3 linked regions of the Drosophila melanogaster genome follow. The protein of the gene in region 1 interacts with the protein of each later gene in a pairwise test. Each region holds a gene or a part of one and is shown in the gene's direction. Other genes may lie near its edges.

Region 1 (8,549 bases):
CATGCGTTTACATAGAAATCTACACAAGTACATATGCAAGTATATAAACAAATAAGTCTTCATGTACATACATATGTCAACAAATTTGAAAGTTGTGGTAAAATCCTCTCTATTTGATTTTAAACATACACTTACATTTAATTGATCAACTTTGCTTGCAGGATTCAATAATGAAACAGTGATGGCATAAACAAAGCTAATGTTTTATTTTAATTTAATTCAAAAACATATTGTTACTGCACACGACAGTGGTGAGTTACAGCATTGAAATCCTGCATACACGTCGCTAGATTGCATTATTGAGAATTCAAAGTTACAGGTGTAAGTTGCCCATCGTCCCGCGCAATTAAGAGAAAAGAGGGAAAAAAGTGACGGCGCTGGGACGGACATCTGTACCTGCTCAATTAAAAAGTCATTAACTGCGGCACACAAGTTGCACGCAGAGGAACCAAAAACCCGACCCGAGCGATAGAAGGACTGTGATTGACACCAGCACGCAAGATCCACCCTCCCTTCTCCGGCCGTCTGTCTATCTGTCCGTTCGTCTGTCCGTTCGTCTGTCCATTCGTCCGTCCGTATAAATCTGCCGATATAGCAGAGACATATCGATGCACGCACCTTGCAATTACCCGGTTGGATATCGAGGATCGAGATCCGAGTATGGAGGCATGTGGCGCAGAGACTCTGCGTAGAATTGCTCAAGTGGCAGGGATGGCAAATCCTATTCCGCAGGTGGTAGGTCAAAATTCAGGTACTCTACGCTCTTTTCTAACGTTATTTCAACGTGATGAGGCACCAGACTAAGAAAATACTATGAGCATTATTATTTTTAATTAATTAAGTTGGTAATGTAATCGTCACTGTGATACGACGTAATATGCTACAAAATATAACGATAATTGTGAAACATGATTGAAGACGATCTCTCACTATATTTCTCATTTCAAAGGATTAAACTTCAATGTATAGAAAAATATCTAACCCACTCCAAGGTTATGTGACAAGTGTCGCTTTCTGGTACTTCGTGGTTATTACATCCGATTACAGGGTATAATTAATTGCTACCATGTATCTGTATCTGCAGACCTGGAGGGGCAGATGACCTGCCTGGAAGTTCTGCAACTTTTGCCACTGCAGGTCAACTGTTGCGTGCCCATAAATGCGCCATAAAATGGGCTAATCCCATTGCAGTCGACTGCATCAGCTGCAACAGTTGCATCAGCTTTTGCAGCAATGCTCTCCCCTCCAGCCATTTTGCCACCTGCCACCGCAGGCAACATATGCTAACAATTTCTACATGTCCATAATTCTCTATAACATATGTACATATGTACATAAGTATGAACATATGCATATATAAGTTAATTACCGATTAGGGAATCAATGGAAATTGTGGGGTTTATCTCAATATTAAATTAATGATAATTAAGAAATGGTTAGTAGGCTTTTTTAACTAGGCTTAATACATTTTTTAATCACTAAATAAACTGTGCAATCAAAGAAATACAAAGAAAATGTACAGCAGATCGTCGAATAGTGACGATATACATAAGTGTATGAATGTATACTAAATATACTGAATAAAAATATATTTTTAACCAACAAATTGGTTTCATAGATATCTCCTAACGGAGTTTAACTATCCGTGAGATATGTACATACATATACATATGTGGAATATCAGATCTCGGGATTTGCAGCCGGTTTTCACTGCCAATCACTCAACTCGCCAATCGTTTTCTCCCTCCCTCGCATTGCCCCATCCTCCTCCTCCTCCTCCTTCTTCTTCGCCTTCTTCTCCACACTTCCACCCACATTCGTCGTCCGTCTCGCCCGCGTCTTCGTCTTCGTCGTTTGCTTTATTGTTTTATTGTCAGTTTAGGGATTTGACAATTTGCTTGCTGATTTTTTATGACAATCATGTATGTAAATTTCAGGCCTCTCTGTCGCACTCTTCTCCGCCGCCTCACTCTCGCCTTCTCTCGCTCCCTCCTCCGGCCCTACTCCAATCTAAACTCTTCCTCAAGGCCCCACGCACACAGCCGCACAGTGGAGTTCGTATCTGTGTGGCTGCGATGGAGGTACTCGTATCTGGGCTCCATTAGCCCTCGCCTTTTCTCTTACGAAATTTTTAAATACTTTTGGGCCATTCTCAGCTGAGCTTGATTCCCAGCTCCAGTTGCCCAGCAAAAAAAAAAAAAAAAAATAAAACCTAAAACAACTTGAAACCCCATAGTTACCAACAGATTCAAACCCTTTCTGTCGCTATTTATACCCCTTAATCGTAGATTGGAAAAAGCATACCCATTCGAAAGACGAAAGATCGCCTGCATCTTTGGAATATATATGTACATACATACTTATGCATACTTACTTACATGCTTAGTCTTCTTCTAGTCTTCTATTTAAAAAAGTTTCTCTAGTGAGCTTATGATCTTATGACAGAATCTGATAACAGGGTATCCGTTAGTCCTAGCTTACGATTTTTTCCTTTCTTTTTAAATGTAGATTAGCTTTCGTTGTCTCTCAGCTCTGCACTCCCGTATGCCCAACGCAATAAAAGTTTGGTTTATTAATTTTTTGAACGTTCTCAACTTTTACGAGGCCCGTGACGTCGATAATCGTCGGTTGCCGGTCGCTCAGAAACTAGGCTAGTAGTGCGAATTGGTTTTGGCCCGGTCCAGTGAGTCAACATCTGACTAAGACGCTTCGAGGAGTCTATTAATAAGCCGCCGTTCGTACCAAGGCTAAAAAAAAAAAAACGGGCACAACTGAGCAACCAAGCCTAGAACTGCAACACAGCTTTAAATTAGGCGAGTTGCGATATGGTAATCGGTGGATCACACAAAAGGGCCAACCAATCTTCGCTGTGTTCTTGAAAAATCCACATTATCGCCACTTAAGCTAAATTTTGCTATTACAATAGAGTACATAAACATTTATTTATATGGTAAGTTCTTCATAGCGTAGATGACTTCTACGAACTGCCAGAGTTTTAAGCTAGAGATCGGAATAAACATTTCGAAATCCAACCATCCTAAAGAAAACAATTTCATATAAAATTTTTAGTGCCTAGGGCGGCTTAAATATATGCAGTTCGCTGTATATATCCAGAAACGCAAATACAGCGAAATAATTTCATAAATAAACAGTGGAAAATCATTTTAACACGATCAAAGCTATTGATTTGCTGCTAGAAAGGCAATGCAGAAGTTGTGTATTATTACAAATACACTTTACAATTGCGATCCATCCAAATTCTACGGATTGTTAAGTGCAAAACCGGTTATCAATGACCTTACTTAAATTACTTTTTTATAACCGTTCAGCAATTTTCTGTGGAAAATTGTGATGGCTTGCAAAAAAGGATTCAAATTTGTGTGCATTATAAAACGTATGTATATATGTGTGCATTATAAAACATATGTATATATGTATATTAAACATCAGTTTTCACTAATAATGCCATTCAAGGCATAAAAATATAAGCATTCAAATTGCGACTAATCGTTTATGTACATGTCTTCGAGAGGATTTATTAGTTCGATCTAAACAGATTGCAAAACTTAGGTCTCAACTAATGCTAATTATGCATGGGATACTTTATCTTGATTCCGAGCTAACTTGTGGTACTCTCAATGCAAAGGGTATTGCAAAGTAAAGGCAGCGCAAAGCAAAGGCAAAACCAAAAGCAAAGCAAAATCAAATGCAGCGGCGTTGACGGCAGCCGTGCGCGACAGAGACAGCACGCACATAACCGAAACGCCGCCGCGCAGTGTATATAGCGCACACACACACACAGCCACGCATGTGCGTCGACTGCGACGCCGCAGCCACAGTCGCAGCCGGCGTCGCTGCCGGCAGAACGGGTAGAACGAATGTGCCGCATGCACGGCGGTGTATTTGTCGGTCATTTGTATTTGGAACGCCGTAGCAGACAGAAGGACACGGGTGAAAAAGCGACGAAGCGTGCGAACGGAGTGGAGCGGCTACTTTTAGCGCCCTTTTTTGTTTCATTTTCCCCACTCACAAAACGCAACATTTTTGGCAACAACTTTTCGGCAAACCAATTGAAAAACAAACTAAACGAACTAATCGCGGCTCGGGAATCAACAACAAATTTAATTCCGATGCAATACTTGTGTTCGTAAACAATTTTTTTCTGTTCGATCCGATCCCCGATAAACGATAAACGCGAATTCCAGTGATCTTTTGGAAAAGGGCGAAGCGAAAAGCGAACCCAAACCGAAAAACTCTAAATCACCGGTAAAAAAAAAAGTGGCGAGAGAGAGCAAGAAAGAGAGAGAGAGAGAGATAGGGAGAGTGTGATCACATCGCATCGCCATTCTCGCTTCCCTCGCAATTCGCAAAAACAAAATTCGAAATTCAAAATTGACCAGCATTCGTTGCGGTTCCGATATTGGTTTCTTCAGTTCAGTTCAGTTCAGTTTCGTATTATTTATCGAGTCTGCTGTTGTGTGTCTTTCGTTTCGCCGAAGAGGAGCGGTGAAAGAGAAGAAGGAGGAGGAGCGGAGCAGAAGAAGAAGGAGCGAAGCAGAAGTCCAAGTCCAACGAAGAAGTGCCCAAAGCGAGGCGCAGATAAGTAAGAAAAGCAAAAGAGAACGGAAAAGGGATCTTCATCGAGGATCCTTCATGTATATATTTTTTTCGAGTGTGTGTGTTAGTGTGCGTCGTGAGCGTCCATGTGTGCTCTCCACAAACAATTGCAGTTGACATTACGTTCGCAAGTAAAAGCTATTGTATTTCCACCATACAAATCAAATTACAAAAGTGCCTGCAATTTCGCATCGAAGTGAAATGGACACCAAGAACCGTTAGACACCAAAAGCTTTGAAAACACAGTGTGCATGTGTTTGTTTTTTTTCCGTTTGCAACTCAAGTAACTTCAAACTAATAATGGCTTAAACAATAATTGGCTTATTTTCAGTACAAATACAAAGCACAAAAAAACAAAAAATCACAAAAAAATAAAACGAAACGAGAGCATATAACATAAAAACCCAAAACAAAAACGATCGGCTCAGCAGAGCCAACGAAAAGCAAGCAGCGTAGCAGCAGGAGCAGAGGATGCACCACTGATCCCGGAGAGCTCGAGACATGAGAAGCGAAACACCGAGCAGCCACCAAGCATCGACTTATGTAGCGGTCCATGACGAGCATTAAGACCGAGATGCCGCCCCTGCACGCGGCAGAGGCGCTCGCCTCCAGCAGTGCTACAGACAGTGGTGGGGGAGGAGCAGGAGGAGGAGGAGGAGGAGGTGGAGGAGGATCGGGCGGACCAGGAGCGGGAGGAACGGGAGGCGTAGGCAGTGCGCCCGCCACACCCAATGCCACAATTAGCGCCGCCGCCGACTCCAGTGATAATCAACCCGGCACGCCGCAGCCCACGCAACAGCAGCAATCGACGCAGCAACAGTTGCAGCAGCCACAATCGCAACAGCAGCAGCAGCAGGCCATGGGTGGAGGAGATCCCCAGCAGCAGCAACAGCAGCAGCAGGTAACGGGTATCACCCACCAGCCGTACGCCACCCACCACATGTACTCCGCATCTGGCGGACAGCAGCAACAACAGCAGCAGATCTACGGCGGACTCTACGGCGGGGACATGCAGCAGCAGCAGGGTTACGCCAGCAGCTACATCAACAGCTACGAGCAGTTCTACCAGCAGCAACAGCAGCAGCAGCAGGGCACTGATTACGCCTTTGGCACCGTGGGCGTTGACTATGGCAAGAGCGCCGGTGTTCGCTATCATCCCTACCTGCAGACGCCAACCTCCGGACTGGGAGGCATTCCAACGGCCAGCTCGGCACAGGAGGAGGCGGGCAGTGCGCCCAGCGCGGTCAGCACCACCACAGCGGTGGCCATGAGTCCGCGTGTGGTTAGCAGCAGCAGTCCAACGTCGACGTCCTCGCACCTGCAGCTGGGCAGCTCCAGTGGCCAGACACCAGGCTCACCAGGCGGAGCCGCCGGAAGTGCCGGATGCAAGTTGCAGTGCAAGAAGTGCGGCATCCTCACCACCAACGAGTCGGAGCTACAGGAGCACATCGCCAACGTGCACGGAGAGTCGCCGTACGGCAGCAGCGGTTACGCCAGTTCACCGTACATCAAGGAGGAGATGCCCACACCACAGCCACCCGGCGTTGGATCCGCAACGGCCAATCCCGGCGAATTACTCGACCTAGATTCCCAGAAGATGGTCTATCACCAGCAGCTGCTCCAGCAGCAACAACAGCAACACGACGTGGTCGCTGGACTGCCGCTGGGCGCTCTGCCGGATCCGCTGCACTCGATGCAATCTATGCAGCAGCGCGCACTCCACAGCTGGGAGCAGCAGCCACAGCAGACGGTGGCCTCCGTGGAGGGCCTGCCACCCTACATGCAGCAGGGATTGGGCGTGGGGCTGGGAGTCGGTGTGGACAAGTCGCCCTACTACTCACCAAAGCAGTCACCCTATCATCAGTCAACCGGCGTTGGCGGAGCCACGCTGATCAAGCAGGAGTACGGCGGCCACGGACTGATCAAGTCCGAGTATCCCGATTCGCAGCATTACGTGGACAAGTCCTTCGATCCCACAGCTGGCGGAGCTGGTGGCGCGGAACTGTGCGCCAGCGTGGCCACCAGTCCGGCGGAGTTCCCCAGCACCACTACGGGCGGACCAGGGCAGGAGGGAGCGGCGGGTGCGGCGCCAGGAGGTGGATACCGCGGTTTCGAGCCACCCAGCTCGAGCTCCGTGCTGCCGGCCAACAGCCTGACGGCCAAGGCGGCCACCTGGAAGTCGAACGAGGCGCGCCGTCCGAAAACGTACAACTGCACGGCCTGCAACAAGTGGTTCACCAGCTCGGGCCATCTTAAGCGCCACTACAATACGACGCTGCACAAGAATGCGGTTAAGTCGAGCGGCCAGCCGGATCCAGCCACCCTGCCCATCTCGGCGCACCACCATCCCGCCCGCGACCCGGTGACGAAGCCCAGTCGCAGGGGCAATGCCGCAGCCGCTGCGGCCGCCGCTGCAGCTGCCGCCTCGGCCAGCGGTCAGGGTCAGCAGCAACAGCCGCCGATACCGCCGCCGCCGGCCAATGTGCCACCCCCGGAGCCGCCTAGAAGTCCGCCCGATTATGGCGGAGGAGGCGGCTTGGGCGTGGGAGCGATGGGCGGCGCTGCCATGTCCCAGTACTCGGCCTCACCCTCGCCCACACAGCAGCAGCAGCACCACCTCAACCACCATCAGCAGCAGGCCAACGGCTATGCTAATGGCACCGCCAACGGCTATGGCTACATGCAGCAACAAGTGCAATCCACGACAAACGCTTCACCACAGCACGCTTCCAACAACAACAGCAACAACCAGCAGCAGCAGCAACAACAGCAGCAGCACCATCAGCAGCAGATGCCGCAGCACCACAACTCCGTTTTGAACGGTCACCCAAACGGGCTAGCAGGTCCCTCCGCCCCACACAACAACAACACCACCCAAATGCCGTCCTCCCAAATGAGGGGCCTGCTGAACGAAACAACAACCACGCCGCCACCAACAACAACAACCCGAGCACCACAAATCACAACAACAGCAACAACAACAACAACGGCGGCCACCACGGTAGCTATAAAGAGCGAGCAAATGGAGGACAGCAACCACACTCACACCCACACACACACGCATCCCAATCACAGTCACAGCCAGGACAGGAGCCACAGCAGCAGCAGCAGCAGCTCAATGGCCACGGAGGAGGCGGAGGAGCAGGAGCTGCGGGATCAGGAGCAGGCGGACGATCACCTGCATCAGCATCAACAGGCGTCGCAGCAGTATCTGCTGTCGGCGCGTCATTACCACAGCAGCACGCCCAACACGCTCAGCAGCAGCAACACCAATCCCAGCACGCCCAGCAGCAACTCGCCCCATACTATCTACCGGCAGGAGCAGCAGGGAACGGATTTCTCGCGCACCACCCCGCCGCCGCAGCCGCTGCCGCCTATGGGAATGCTGCCGCCTATGGCAATGGACTACAACATGCTGGCTTTGGATATGCCCATGCCCATGCCCACGCTCATGCACAGCAATATGCTGCAGTGCAGCAGCACCAGCACCACGCCGCTAGCTACTACCATCACCACCAGTATGCCGGACACTATGCAGCCGCCGCAGCAGCAGCTGGTGCACCACTACCAGGCGGTGCTCCACCCGCTCCATCAGCAGCTGGGGGAGCAGCACCAGCGCCAGGAGGCGGATCATCATCAGCAGCAGCGGGAGCTTCACCAACTGGATCAGCAGCAGCAGCAGCAGCAGGCGTTAATCCTGGCGGACAGTTTGCCGCACAGCAGCAGTTCGCCCACCAGCAGCTCCCCACCGCCCACCATGCCCATGCCGCTCACCACCATCACAGCGCCGCAGCTGCTGCCGCTGCAGCCGCCGCCGCCGCACATCACCAGCACCATGCCCATGCCGCCCACCATGCACATGCCCATCATGCCGCCGCCGCCGCAATGCTACCAGCAGCTGCAGCCGCTGGACCCCACAATGAGCTATCACA
Region 2 (7,376 bases), on another chromosome or scaffold:
TTAAGTCCCGACTCCGATAGAACAACGATCCATCAGCGTATATGTCTGTGAATATATATATGCTGTGCGCAGCCCATAAATAAATATATAAATTTAAATAAAGGCCGCCGCAATACCCGCACACTCACAGTTTGTTTGTCAATAAATCAGAATACTTATCAACGTCAAAGTACCGCAAAGAATGTGAGCAAACAATAAGAACTAAATGTGTGTGTGTTTCAGGAGGTCCATCAGTTTATTGGGAACTATTAAAGTTATTTATGAAAATAAATGGAATACCTACAACTTAAAAATAAAACCTTTCATTGAGCTACAAACATTTCTACACAGTGCCTAAATTATTCGACAAATGCGCCTCTATCTTGACTCCAGCAGGCATTGTGGGTGCCAATTTATGGGCAATCTGTGCTTATTTTCCCATTTCCCAGCCCAACATTGTTTTGGGCCTAGTCCCGAACTAAGTCCGCTAATTGCGCCGCCTTAGCCGGGCCATCTCGACCGGGTTTCGGGGAAGGCCCCGTCCATAATTATGCGAAATGTGCGCCATTTCTTCGGACTGTTGCCTGTTATTGTTTGCATTATTAGCTGACAATTTCGGTGGCACTGTGATGCCAAGTGGTGGGTCTGTGATTAGGCCGGCTCTTTGGGCTCTGGAAATTGTGGGATTAGCAGGCGCTTTGTCTGTGGCTAGAATCTTGGTCGGGCACCATCAGCCTGTCGCTCGATAAGCGCTCCAGGGCAACTCGAGTCCAAGAAGTTGATGTTTTTCTTGCATGATTACGACCATAAGCCAACGGCGTGTTATTGCAGGCCAAAGAAGTGGACGGTTTTCTTGGGAAACGCCCGAGTTCAAATCGATTGAACCAATGTTGCTCTTTAAATTGGTTTAATTTAGACATTTATTGTATCTCAACTTCCTGGAAGCAACTTGATTAAATTTCCTAATTTAAATAACCGGAACTATTGGACAGCAACTAATTCTGAAGAGCAAAGGCCATCTAAAATATCGCTTGATTTCTTAGCTATCACTAATGTGACTATCAATTCGAGGAAATGAAATTTTGTAGAATTAATAAAAGTCGTGTGTTATTAAGAAAATATTAAAACGTATTATATTTATTGTTTGAATACCAGAACGTTTCTTATTCCGAGCACATATTGTAGCGTTTGCCCCTCGCTTTTGGCATTTAAAATGGAGCAAATATTTTAGAATTCACCTGAATCGCATGCAAAAGCCTTTGTCAACATCAATGGTCCGCTGTGACCACGCTCTTTGTTGTAGTTTTTTGTGAATGCGCAATTGTTCAGTGTCGTCATGGCTGTGGCATGCACAAAGCGCCGATTGCAACGCCCATCCATCCACCCAGCAACCCCCCCCCCCCCCCACCTACTAAAGCTTTCAGGATATGCCATCCAACTACCAACTACCATACCGACCAAAACGCTTTTTTTTCGGCGCTGACATGTCCAGGCACTGGGGCAAAAACAAACCCATATATGTATATTCAATAGGCCGGGCGCTGCCAGAGTGTTTTCCGACGTTTTTCTGTAATTCGTTGTAGGTTTTTTCCAAGTTGGCTTTCGGCCGGTCCGAAAAAAGCGGCCTGCCTACATAAAGGCGCTAGCATATTAAAGGCTTAAACCCACTCAACGGCAGATGCCATATTGTTGAAATATATGCAGATACGTCGCGCATACGTCATGTGAAGATGGAATCCGGTTTGCAAAATGCATTCCATTCAAGCAGCGTTCTGTGATTTTTCATTGCAATCGGTTAAGCAATCGAATCCACCAGATTTATGTATTGTAAGCATATATTTCCATTCAAAGCTCAAAGCGATTTTCACCTTACCTGCACAACAAAAACACTACACTAGGGTGTGATCGTAGAGCTCGGTTTTTCAAATTTCGATCGAAGTGGGCCTGGATTATTGTGCAATGCTGTCGTCCTACTGTTATATCTCATTCAGTTTCCTGTTTCGCTCCGAATAACTTCCAAATTGAACAGTAAAAATTTGTAACAAAAATAAAGTATAATATTTTTCTAGAAATTTTATTTTGGAAAACTTAAGTCGAAAACATGTGCTCTCCGTGCGGTCCTTGTAGTCCATGCGATCCCTGCTGCGGTCCCTTCGAGTGCTCACCCAAGTGCTATAATGCCGCCCAATTGGAGGCCTTGCCACAATGTGCTCCACGTATTCCACCTCCCTTCCCCAAATGCATCACCGTGCAGCAACCACCACGCATGATCTGCAAGAAACGCGTGGTGTTCACGGAGAAGATTGTGCCGGAGCCAATGGTGGTTAACCGATGCAGACAGATTACCATTCCAAAGGTCGTTGATGCCACGCGGGTGATCAAGGTGCCCAAGCTGATTTGGGTGTCGCAGATGGTGCGAGAACCCAGAGTAATCTACTACCCCTCGATGATCCCCGATCCCTATGTGGTGTGCTATCCCAAGCGCGTCTGCGAACCCCGGGAGGTGTGTCAGTCGATCCTGTGCCAGCCGAAGCCACAGACCATCGACATTCCGCCGCCAAGGGAGTACTGCTGCTATCCAAATGGACCCATCAACTACAAGCCCAGTGCAGCGTGCCCACCCTGCCCCATTGGACCATGTGCTCCTGGAGGACCCTGCTGTCCGCTGCCCTGCTTCTCCACAAACCAGTATCCCGTTGCCGAGGGTAGGTGCGGACCCTGTGGACCTTGCGGTCCAGGATGCGGACCCTGCGGTCCGCGATGTGGTCCCTGCGGACCCGGCCCGTGCGGACCCTGTGGGCCGAGATGCGGTCCGGGTGGACCGTGCGCCGTGCCCAATTGCGGGCCCTGCGGCCTCACAATGCCGTCGGGTCCGTTTGTCCCGGCTCCGTGTGGACCCTGTGCTCCATGCGGGCCATGTGGACCGCTCGGCAATAGTCCTTGCGGTCCTTGCGGACCCTGCGGACCCTGTTCGCCCCCGTGTCCGTACGAGTCACCCGAGTGCGGCCCCTGCTACCCGTGCGCCCCAACTCCCTGGAATACCCACTGCGGCCCAGTTGGTCCTTGCGGTCCTCAAGTGCCTTGTGGACCCAGCGGCCCCTGTTAACATCATCGTTGTGCTGCCTGGATTGTTGTCAGAAACCGGTGCCCAGTGGACCAACTTGTCTATCACCAATACAGATTGCCATAGTGTATTCTCGCCGTTCTGCTCAAACACCACCAAAAAAGTCTACAGTTCTCTATACTTTGTCAACGCATGGACGACTCATTGGCTGTAAATAAAAATCGGATTTATGCATATATAAGGTTTTTTCAATTTCTTTTGACAGGTTATGCAATGGTTTCTATCCAGATAAAATTTTCTACCAAATTTTTGTCAAATAGTAGGCCTTGCCTCTGCTTGTCAATCTACCTATGTTCGTTACTCAGGCTTAGCTCGCATTTTGAATCCGGTTTCGCTTCGATACACTTCTAAATTTCTCTGATCAAATTTTATAAGAAACAAAAAACAAAAATTAACTTTTTACTCTTTCGGTTTATTCTAGTCGAAACTTAAAATGTGCTCTCCGTGCGGTCCTTGTAGTCCATGCGATCCCTGCTGCGGTCCCTTCGAGTGCTCACCCAAGTGCTACAATGCCGCCCAATTGGAGGCCTTGCCACAATGTGCTCCACGTATTCCACCACCCTTCCCCAAATGCATCACCGTGCAGCAACCACCACGCATGATCTGCAAGAAACGCGTTGTGTTCACGGAGAAGATTGTGCCGGAGCCAATGGTGGTTAACCGATGCAGGCAGATCACCATTCCAAAGGTCGTTGATGCCACGCGGGTGATCAAGGTGCCCAAGCTGATTTGGGTGTCGCAGATGGTGCGAGAACCCAGAGTAATCTACTACCCCTCGATGATCCCCGACCCCTATGTGGTGTGCTATCCCAAGCGCGTCTGCGAACCACGTGAGGTGTGTCAGTCGATCCTCTGCCAGCCGAAGCCCCAAACCATCGACATTCCGCCGCCGAGGGAGTACTGCTGCTATCCAAATGGACCCATCAACTACAAGCCCAGTGCAGCGTGCCCACCCTGCCCCATTGGACCATGTGCTCCTGGAGGACCCTGCTGTCCGCTGCCCTGCTTCTCCACAAACCAATACCCAGTGGCTGAGGGCAGATGCGGACCATGTGGACCCTGTGGACCCGGATGCGGACCTTGCGGACCCTGCGGACCTTGGGGACCAGGATGCGGTCCTTGCGGACCCTGTGGACCCTGCGGACCCTTCGGACCAGGCTGTGGTCCATGCGGACCGTGTGGACCCTGCGGACCTGGCCCTTGTGGCTTCGGTCCTTGCGGACCATGCTGATCTGTAAAACAGCTGGAAAGATCTACTTGACGTCTGCCAAAAACATTTTGTGACAACTCCGCGTTATGGAAGTCCACATCCGCGCTCAATTATATGACAGTCCAAATTAACTTTGCAAGTTTTGTAAATTAAAGAAGTGCATTGATACAATATTTAAACCACATTTTTTCTTCGGGCATTTGTTTCGGAAATTTCGTTGTTTCATTGCATTTAATATGCTATGTATTTTTCAGATAACGAAAGTTGAGATTCGGGATTTTTGTTTCGAAAGGCCTGTTGGGGAATTTTTATTTTATTTTATTATTATTTTAAAAACTCATACTTGTTAGTTCACCAGTGTAGCCCTGAGTCACCTGTCAGCTTGTGGACTTACTGGTAATAGTTGTAGTAGTCATATCCAAATTATTCTTGATCTTAAATCATGTCGAAATATGTGGCTAGAGTGGGCCCAGCGGTTTTCTCCAAGTTGGGAAAGTGGGCCTACAACATGTCTGGATTCAACCAATACGGCCTGTATCGCGATGACTGTCTGTACGAGAATGAGGATGTGGCAGAAGCAGTGCGTCGTCTGCCCCGCAAACTGTACGATGAACGCAACTATCGCATTCTTCGAGCACTGCACCTTTCCATGACCAAGACGATCCTGCCCAAGGAGCAGTGGACCAAGTACGAGGAGGACATCAAGTACTTGGAGCCCTATCTTAACGAAGTGCAAAAGGAGCGCGAAGAGCGTGAGGAATGGAGCAAAACTCATTGATCCGGATACTTCGGTTACAAAGAATGTCATAACCAAAACATAAAGGTTATTTAAATAAATCGTTAATATAAATAGGCATAGAAAAAAAAACAACTTTAATTATCTGGTTTTAATATCATAACATCTAATATCACTTTATCGCCAGCTTTTTTTAAGCGCGTCTCTCAATATCGTCAGCCGTTTAAAAATCCCCTGCGATCCACAGCAATGTCAACGCAAATAATTTTCGCATTAAGTGCATTCGCATAAATACAATATATGAAATTCATTAACAGCGAATACAATACAAATTAGTGCTGCTGGGTGGGGCGTGAGCCGCCCATTGAACATGTGTATGCCGCCCCACGATTTAAAATGACAGTGGAGGAGTGGGCGTGGCAGCGTCAGCGGCAAACAAAATGCGTGTGCATGGCCCGCACATCCTGTCAATCCTCGTATACTTATGCGCATCCTGTTTAAAATGCAGCAAACAGCAACAATGCAGTTGCAGTTGCGATTGCCGTTGCAGATGCAGATACTTTCGCAGTCGTATATATCTGCATCTCTGCCGCTGTCTGATTGTTCTGGCGCTGCCATTCGACCGGAAGAAATTATTGTTATTCGAATTGATCTGCCATAGTTTCGATTTCGATGTTGGCCACTGCGATAGGCAATGCTCCTGCCATGGAGCGATATCGCTGCGTCTGCGGCCAGTAACTGCCAGAGTTCTGATAACGTCAACGCAGGAGGATGCAGCAAACGTAATGGTTACCCTGTAATGTTAAGGGCTGAAGGTATGTAACGCTGTTCAAAATTTAGGTAAAAGTATCTCCTCAATCCTTAAATTACAAATAATAATTCAAGTAACTGTCAATCAAATCTCTACCCTACCCACATCAATTTCAAAATGATGGCTTTTAACTCGCAATTATGTACTGAGTATTTCTTAGTCTAATTCTTCTTGAGCAGCCCTTTTTTTTCAAGCCGCCATCGTTGCCGTTATTTATTTGCGCTCACATATGCATAAATAACGGGCGGTGGACGTCACCACCCACCCACCCAGCCACCCAACCAACACGGGAACGCCCAACTGGCGCTTGTACAATAAATTGCAAAAATATTATTTTATCAACAATAATTAATTAAATGCACTTAATTGCGTGCCGCAGTTGCTGTTGCTGTGTTGTTGCTCGGCTTTCATTTTTATTTATTTTTGTTGCCTCATTTTTGTGCACATTTTCTGCTGTCCCCCGTTCGACCTTGTTTTTATGCAGCTGCTACTGATGTGGCATGGTGGGTGGTGGCTGCAACATGGTCATCTGCATGCATATGCTTGAGCAGAGTTGTAAGTAGCCATGTAAGTGGACAAGTGGCCAACCGTTCCCGCATCGCATTCACTGCCATTCTCCCCGTTTGGCCGAAACTCTTTCTGCGATTTATGCGTATTTTTAAGTGGCATTAAGTGCGCGTTAACATCTTATGAAGCTGGCAGCGGCAACAATAATTTATTGCGGCAGCAGCAACATCTGGATGGCCATTAAACGCCCCGAAACAAATGCTAATTGACGAGTGCCAGAAAGTGTGCTTAAAAAAAAGAGGCGGTAAGTCGCTGGGAAAGCTTAATGAGTTGTGCGGCTAATTGGAGAAATGCAATTGCAACGCCAACGGAGGAGCAGCAGAACTTGCCGTTGCAGCTGCAACCTGCAACATCTCGAGCTGTTACATTTGCATTGTTATTGCGGCAAGTTGGTGGGCTTGCTGCATTTCTGGCTTTCTGTTGTTAATGAAGTTTGTCGGCCGACATGCGGCAGGGAGAAATATTATGCATACGCCATGTTGGCCAAAAGTTTTACAAATCCCGCTCTGTCCTTTCCTTGCCCTGCCCTCCATTTCCCGACCATGGACACTGCACGTTCCTTGGACACATTTAGTCTCAGTATGTGTATGGTAATTTACAATCCCCTGCGCTTGCAATGTACACATGCCTGCACGTGTATGGGTAAATTGTTAAATTTATACACAAAAGCAACGCTGCGCTGCAACTGCCAAAGTAATTTGCGATAAGTGCGTCAGATTCTTTGGGGAATTTTCGACCAGCACGACCACAGAAGCAGCATCACCATCACCGCTGAAAATAACAACAACAACTACGACAATAATAATGCAACCACAACAACAAGTGAAGTAAAAAGTGAATATTTATTCGGTTTTTGGCGAGGGGTCGCCAGCCAGCATAAACGAAACGAAAATGCGCTGCGATCTCGCACTAAGATTAAAGCCTTTTCGCTTTGGGGAAAATTAAGTTT
Region 3 (7,142 bases), on another chromosome or scaffold:
ACTCATGGCCAACAAGGCAATGCCGAAAAGAAGGTACAGCGAGCAATAGGCGATGGACTGCTCCGACTCGTCCTTGACTCCTTTCGCGGGGACAAAGTCACCAAATCCTGTAATGCAAAAGCAGATGAAAAGAGTGCGCAAGGAATTGGGATAAACACAAACCGATTGTTGTCAGTGTAATGAAGCAAAAGTAGGCGGAATCCAAGAAGGACCAGTTCTCCCAGTACGCAAAAAGAACAGCTCCGCCAAGGATGTAGCTCACTACCAGAAAGACGCATAACCAAATGGGGACAGGTCGATCCTTGGGCAGCAGATCTCCATAGTCCCCATACTCATCCCCGTACATAGAGTCATCGTCGTCGTAATCGTAGCTGGGTCGCCGACGGATTTGCCGCTGGACCGGAAATCCCATTGGTGACATGATTCTCGGGGAAGGGGGCAAACGTTCAGCCCGCTCTCTTCGGCGATTTCTTTTTGGTTCTCGACTCCTTGAGTGGTGGCGCTCAGGCGGATAATCCTCGTAGTTATTGTCTCCGTAAAGGGATCCCTCATCGAAGCTCTCTTCCACGTAGTCCTCGTAGCGACCCTGGGAGTGACCACGCCTATCCCGTCGATGGTCCCGTCCCGGCGGTGGAGCATCATAGTCGGGAAGTTCGAGATGGTTGCCATAGCGAGATGATTGCCTGCCCAGACTTCCAGCTCGTCTATCATGCTGTTGGCGATAGGAGCTCTGCGGTGGCGGCTGTGGAGATCGTTCCCGTTCTCTGTCCTTCTGGCGTTGCCTTTGGTGAGCAGATCTGGGCATGGATTGACTCCTTGGAGCTGCTTGTCTTCTGTTGCCCCCGAAGTCATCTAAAGCATACCTATTTGGTATAATTGGTGTTTTCCTCACCACGTCCTCGTCGACGTCTTCGTAATGTGAAGAAACGTGCCTGGGATCCACGGACTTGGCCCTACTTCTCCCAGGTGCCGAGTGAAGACGATGCAGTTCTCTGGACGCTTTGGAAGATTCCTGATTGTGTGGCGATCGAACCGATCGCACACTGGCAGCTCTTTTCGCAGGAGGTTGCATGTCACCGAAGTCCTCAATGGATCCAGCATCCAAGTGGGATCGAGAGTAGCGCTCCCTTTCTACCGTGTGTCTGTCCCTCATCCGATCCCGTTGTCTTTGCCGGCTACTGTAGCGGTTGGATCTGTTCAGGGTCTGAGTTTCGTACCCATCTCCGTAAATGGTGTGACGCTGGCGAGGATCGTGATGCAAATGCTGCTGCTGCTGCTGACGACGATTGCGTCCGCCTCCACTGCTCCGATGTCCGAACTCGCGGTCATCGTAGCCCCGGCCCATGGTGCGCAGGTCGGGATCTGAATAGGCATGACCCATGGAAGGACCCAGACCCGAGTCATTCCCAGACCGTTGGGTCATCTTCATGGAGCGCCGGAACGAGGGCGGCGGCTGGGATCGGGCATGGCGCTGAGAGCGCATCGATCTCTGCCGGGATCGGGCATTCCTCGGACGTTTGGCCGTGCGGGTGCACACATAGCAGCATATTCTCCAGTACAGAAACCTATATTGGAATATATGTATGAAAACATACTCATTTAGTTCTCAGCTCATCGATGTCAACTCACCGAAATGATGTGGCCATGACATCGCCAATGTTGGACAAGCAGATGAGCATCAGCGGAATGCCCACAATGGCGTAGAAAATCGTTGTCACCTTGCCCCAATCCGTACGCGGCGATATGTGACCATAGCCTGTCCAGAGAATGACAAGGAACACATAATTACTCTTTCGCAGATAGGTAAGATTGATTTTGAGTCACCTTTCACCTTCAACCTCGTGACCGCAAAGTTCTTGAAATACTAATGAATCTAAGACCCGCTAAGGCCCAATCCCCAATCCATATGTACTTCTTTTTGTTCATGCCAAGCCCATTATCGCTTCGAAATAGCAAACATGGCATTTCAAGTCTGCCGCTTTTGGCCTTTACGGAAGTGTGCAAATTCGTAGATAGCATTCTGTGCCCCTCTTCGCGGGGTTCTATCTGATGGGCGTCGGTCACTAAACCCATTTGTGTGCTAGCCGTAAATCCATATCGGGGAAAAGTGCAGACGAAAAGCGTAAAACTAAGCTCCCATCATCAACAGCCAGAGCTAATAAACTGATTTATACCAAATACTTCCACTCGAAAGCCGAAAAGTTGAATGCTCTAAGTGGGTTAAAGTGAAAAAGGTTTCTGTATACTTTTAAAGTAGGAGAGTTTATAGAGTTCTTGGGGTTTGCTTAAGGCCTTCGATTGAAAACCTTCCATGCACCACTTCCCCTTTTATGAGTAATCACTAATCACCAACACCCCCTGTGTGTTAGGGTATACTAATAATGAGAAATTCCCATCGTTAAAATCTAAAAATCTGAAATGCCAGAAAAGATAATCACGATCGGTCAGTGGCGTTTGACCTTGCTGTTGTTTTGACCACAAACAATTGGATGGCAGCAATCCACTTTTGGTTTCATTTGACACGCTCCACACACCCTCGCTCCCTTTGAAAGCCATCACCACCCGAATGAACCCATTTTTAGAGGTCAACCACGTGCTGGCTGCTCACCTGACTGTGTCCGAGCTGAATCTTTGACTTGTGACTCCCGCCCTGCAAAGGAAGCAAGCATATGTTTTCCAACTCATGGAAATTCCCAGGAATAAGCTTTTAGGTCGATCGGTGGTGGTCAATTACCGTGATTTATGCGATTTCAACGTGATCGCTGTGTGGACAAAACCAATTGTCCGACTCATCCGCTTGCCTCATTGGTTCCTGGGCGGATTGCGGTCTGGTCGCGCTTCAGGTGAATCAACGTGGGCCAAGACTTGGGCCACAGATCTCTGAAGATTTCTGTCTGGCACGATCGTTGATTCATTGGTCGGGCAGCCGCCGAATGCGAATACCTGCGGCTGCCCTCGTCGCTTGACTGAGTTTGTGCGTCGTCATCGCCGCTGATGTCTCTGGCGGTTGTATTTGTTTTTTGGTTCTCGGGTGCGGTTATATAAGTAGTGTGTGCCGGTCGCATTTTCGAACTATTCTGTTGCGGGAGCTTGCCGCGATCAAGCGCAAAAATCGGGTCAGTGTGTAATCGAACAAAGCGTGCCAATCATGCCAAGCTATTGCCTCATCATCGTCCTATGCCTTCTTGGATCAGTGGCGGCTAAGTCTTCGGATGGAGATCGAGATCAGTGGGTCTGGAGGTCCTACAATCGCAGGGAGCGCTCTTTTCGGGACATCAATCGCAGTTCCCCCATAAGGAACTCGTACGACGAAAAGCTGAGGCGGGAGCCCACGACTCGAAGACCTTTTCCGGGCGAACCGGAGAATGATGAGATAGAGGACTATGCCGATGTGGAGCCCACCAGGTCATCGGACACTCCCAACGTAGGCACCCGTCAGTTTAATCCATACGGTGGTCAGACCAATGCCGGACAGTTCGGAGGACTTGGAGGCTATAACGGAAACCCCGGAGTGCTAGTCGGACCTGGCGGACCCACCGGAATCATAGGGAGACCGCAGCTATACCCCACTCCCTATCAGCCAGGCTATGGTGGATTCTCTGGAGCTCAAAATGGCATTAGTGGATATCCAGGCGGATACGGAGGAGTAGGACAGGGACTTCCCGGAGCTGGATTCCCCGGAGCCAGCGTGGGTGGTGGGTTTAACAACTTCCCCAGTAATGGACTTGGCCTCAACCAATTTCCTGGCAATGGGCAATACCCTTACGGCTCCTATCCAGGTGGCGACTTCGGTGGAAGCCAATTCGCGGGCGCAGGTGCCCAGTTCCCAGGATTGGGACAGTACCCAGCAAACCAACAGTTCGGTGGACCTCAGTACACCGAGGGCTATGGTCTGGCAGGAGGACTGGGCTTAGGTCAACTTGGAGTAGGCAACGGTGGACTCGGATACGGTGGAAGTTTTCCACCTCTAGGAGGAGGCTTCGGCTATGACGAGAAATCGCCAGCTGTGGCCGATGGTAAGAGTGCTAAGAGTGTGGCAGCGTCACCCAGAAAAGTGAATGATAAGCTCAGTAAGAAGGTCTAGAGCTTCGTGTTTTAGAAGTGGAAGGTGTTATGTTAAAGATATGGAACTGAAGCTATTACTTTCCCACTCAACCCTCCTTTTTCCCTTAGGCTGAGTTGGAAGTAGTCACCTTAGTGTAGGCATAGTTTACGTATAGACTAAGCAAATAAATTCCCATGTTTACTCACACATGACTTTGAAGAACTCAATCCATAAGCTTAAAAAAAACATACTCACCTATGGTCGTTATCACAATAATCGAGTAGAACAGGGATCCGGCAAAGGTCCACTGGGACTTGCGCAGATCCTCGTCGCCATCCCAGCCGTCGGCCTTGATGGCCGTAAGGATTTGCTTTTCAAAATTGGCCAGGTGCTTGCTGACATTGGCCATCCAATCGCTTTCCCTTAGGACCACTGCGTCGTCGGACAGTAGCCAGATATTCTCCGTGAGATTAACGCGAAGATTCTGTATGTCTCGCTTCACCTGCATGGGGATTTTGGATTTTTAGCATTTGAGACCTTCCAGCAAAATCACCCACTCACCTCTAGTTCGTGGGGTCGTTCGAGATGCTGGAAGAGGTAGGCACCGCCCACGCAATAGGAAACCACGAGAAGCACGAGCAGCACATGGGACACAATGCAGGTGAGCACCTTCCACGAGAAGCAGATGGCAGCTACACAGCGTCCGCGTTGCGGCTTCGCTGGCTCCAACATGTGCGCCGGCAGAGATTGGGCCCGCCTACCCGACATGGTCACCCTCCTCTGGCCTCCTCCTTCCTTTGGCTAATTTGCCGCTCGGTTGGCTGTGAATTATGAAAGGCAAAATAAACTAAATAAAGGATGGGACGAAAATGTTTGGAGGTCGGCCTGGCAAATACCCTTAGAAATTGTAAATTGTTGTTGAGATGAAGAGTTGTTTGAGAGTGCCTCTCCGAAGTAATATATTGTAGTAACCTTAATGGGAATGCTACATAATGTTTAAAATTATGCCTGCGAATAAACACGCCTTCTATGGCGTTCGTTTCAGAAATCGTTGGTAATCTCCAAAGGAGCAATTACCGAGAAGCCAAAAGGTAAACCAGACAAAGCTCCACGGCACATATGTTTATTTGTCCAAATATTTATTTATTTGGGTTGCTGGGGCAAGGCCGAAGAGCCAAGGGGATCAGGTGCGGAAGACTCGACTCCATGAGACTATTTTGGGTGCCGCCGCCCGGCGGGGCATTCATCTCATCGTCAAATCTCGTGCCACGCCTGTCGAGAACTCTGCTGGTTCCTCTTGCTTATAGATGCGGACTACATAACATGTCCGAGCAATTATGAACTTCGATTTCATGTGGGCAATTAGCGCTGGTGAATTATGGGCCCATCGGGATTGGGCATTGGACTGCTGTTAATGATGATTACCGATCGCTGATCGCCTTCTGATTCGCACTGAGGAAAACTTTTCAGTTTTCCACATTAAGTTCCATGCTGTATATTTTGCCCGCACTCTCCCGTCTTCCGTCTAACAATCCGTTTCCGATTCTATATCCGATGGGATCCGTACAGAGAAAAGAAGCACCGATCCGTACGAGCCACAAATTCTTACTGCGGATCGCAGCTACAGATGGACTCTCCACGGATCGCTCGGGAAATTGGGTTTATTTTTGGTCTAACGCGAAGTTCTCTTGTCTTCCGTAGATATATAGTTTTGGAAAAACTTTTATTTTCGGCTTTTCTCTGGTCGTCGTTTGTTTTGTATTGTTTGGCTCTCTCAGTCGTCGCACTTTGTGTTTTGATTATGGTGTCTATCTGATTGAAGGAATCAATTAATCTGCTGCTACAGGTGGTCTAACTGATAAGCAATGCATGGACTTAATCTACAATTTTTAAATGAAAATCATAAACTCGTTAACGTGTAATTGAATATAAAATTAACTATCTTTATTACATGCTGTGCTAAGTTTTCGGCTTGTTTTTTATGCTCTTAGCGCTATGCTTATCACAAATCGACTGGTGTACAACCATTACCTTTGTTACCTTAGATAAGAGCTGCAGCTAAGACTATTTTAAGCAATTTAGCAGGGTTAGGAGGGCTTGACACTTCAGTCCACATTCAATTGCCGGAAGGAGCCCTGCAGACCAAAAAGACTCTCGAAGTCAACAGGCTGACCCACTCGGAGGCTTTCATCGGTTCCGTAGTTCTTCTCCTCCTCCCAGTAATTCCGGTAGGCTAGAATACGCTGCTCCCACTGCTGCAGCAGCTCCGGAATCGATCCGTTCTCCCCTCCGTATTCCACTGGCAAATACTGTTTGGGAATCTGATTGTAGAGTGCCTCCCATTTGCTTCCATGAACGTAGAGCTGGCGGTGTAAGAGAACTTCAATTACCTTCCAACTTTGCTTGGTGCAGTTGGGGTTACTTACGCGTCCTTGCTGCTTCTTAGACATCATGGGCTTGATCATATTGAAGATGGTGTCAAATCCGTTGGGCGTATTAATGAAATGGATTCCCTGCGGTCGCAGGGGCAGGGCCTCCTCCTGAAAAACGGTCATCTTCTTGGCGAAGGACGGTGACATCTGCAGGAAGTGCCCGGTGGTGACATTGGACAGATCCAGAATGGATATTAAACCATTCACAATGGCCACATCGTCCTCGTCGAGCATAATCTGCTGCATGAGACCAGCAGCTCGATTCACCTCCTGGAGGGTGTATTTGCTGGGATCATAGCAGGCCATGCGCAGCAGAGCCAATCGCGGGCCATTATCGTTTAGAGGACGTGGCAGAATAACTATGGTGCTGGAGAAAGATTAATGAAGTGGGTTAGACAAAACATTTCTGGGATTTGCATCTCTCCAGCTCACCCCAATCGGAATATCTCCAGTGCTTTGTCCACATCGACATTATGACCCAAATAAAACTCTGGGTACTTGGTGCGTAGTGTGTAGAACCTGTCGATCTTCGACTTGGTCCTTTCCAAACTGAACTTGCAGCCGCGCAGGAAGTTCACCAAGAACTGGTCATCTGTGCGGGCTTTCAAATGGGGTTGCTGCTTAATCCAATCCCTCAGGGCGGCGATGTCGTCATCCAACTTATT

Evidence for each region. Proteins that work in one complex are often made in the same cells at the same time.
Region 2: the proteins of zld (region 1) and Mst98Cb interact in a two-hybrid assay, tested with the Drosophila melanogaster proteins (one large-scale study listed by BioGRID).
Region 3: the proteins of zld (region 1) and CG9192 interact in a two-hybrid assay, tested with the Drosophila melanogaster proteins (one large-scale study listed by BioGRID).

What each region holds. Positions count from the first base shown.
Region 1 is NC_004354.4:19,778,908-19,787,456, reverse strand, and holds the start of zld (zelda), read left to right. Parts: upstream 1-3,908; 5' UTR 3,909-4,603; exon of another isoform or gene 4,604-4,948; 5' UTR 4,949-5,170; coding exon 5,171-8,549. UniProt on the Drosophila melanogaster protein: Transcription factor required for zygotic genome activation (ZGA), a critical event in early embryonic development during which the developmental control passes from maternally provided mRNAs to the expression of the zygotic genome after fertilization.
Region 2 is NT_033777.3:28,289,379-28,296,754, forward strand, and holds Mst98Cb (Male-specific RNA 98Cb), read left to right. Parts: upstream 1-3,419; 5' UTR 3,420-3,536; coding exon 3,537-4,334; 3' UTR 4,335-4,485; downstream 4,486-7,376. Other genes in the region: Mst98Ca (Male-specific RNA 98Ca), read left to right, coding at 2,081-3,085; UQCR-14L (Ubiquinol-cytochrome c reductase 14 kDa subunit-like), read left to right, coding at 4,756-5,091.
Region 3 is NT_037436.4:1,234,242-1,241,383, reverse strand, and holds CG9192 (uncharacterized protein), read left to right. Parts: upstream 1-3,064; 5' UTR 3,065-3,148; coding exon 3,149-4,084; 3' UTR 4,085-4,251; downstream 4,252-7,142. Other genes in the region: galene, read right to left, coding at 1-107, 163-1,565, 1,630-1,756, 4,301-4,547, 4,607-4,813; CG33966 (uncharacterized protein), read right to left, coding at 6,151-6,408, 6,472-6,844, 6,910-7,142.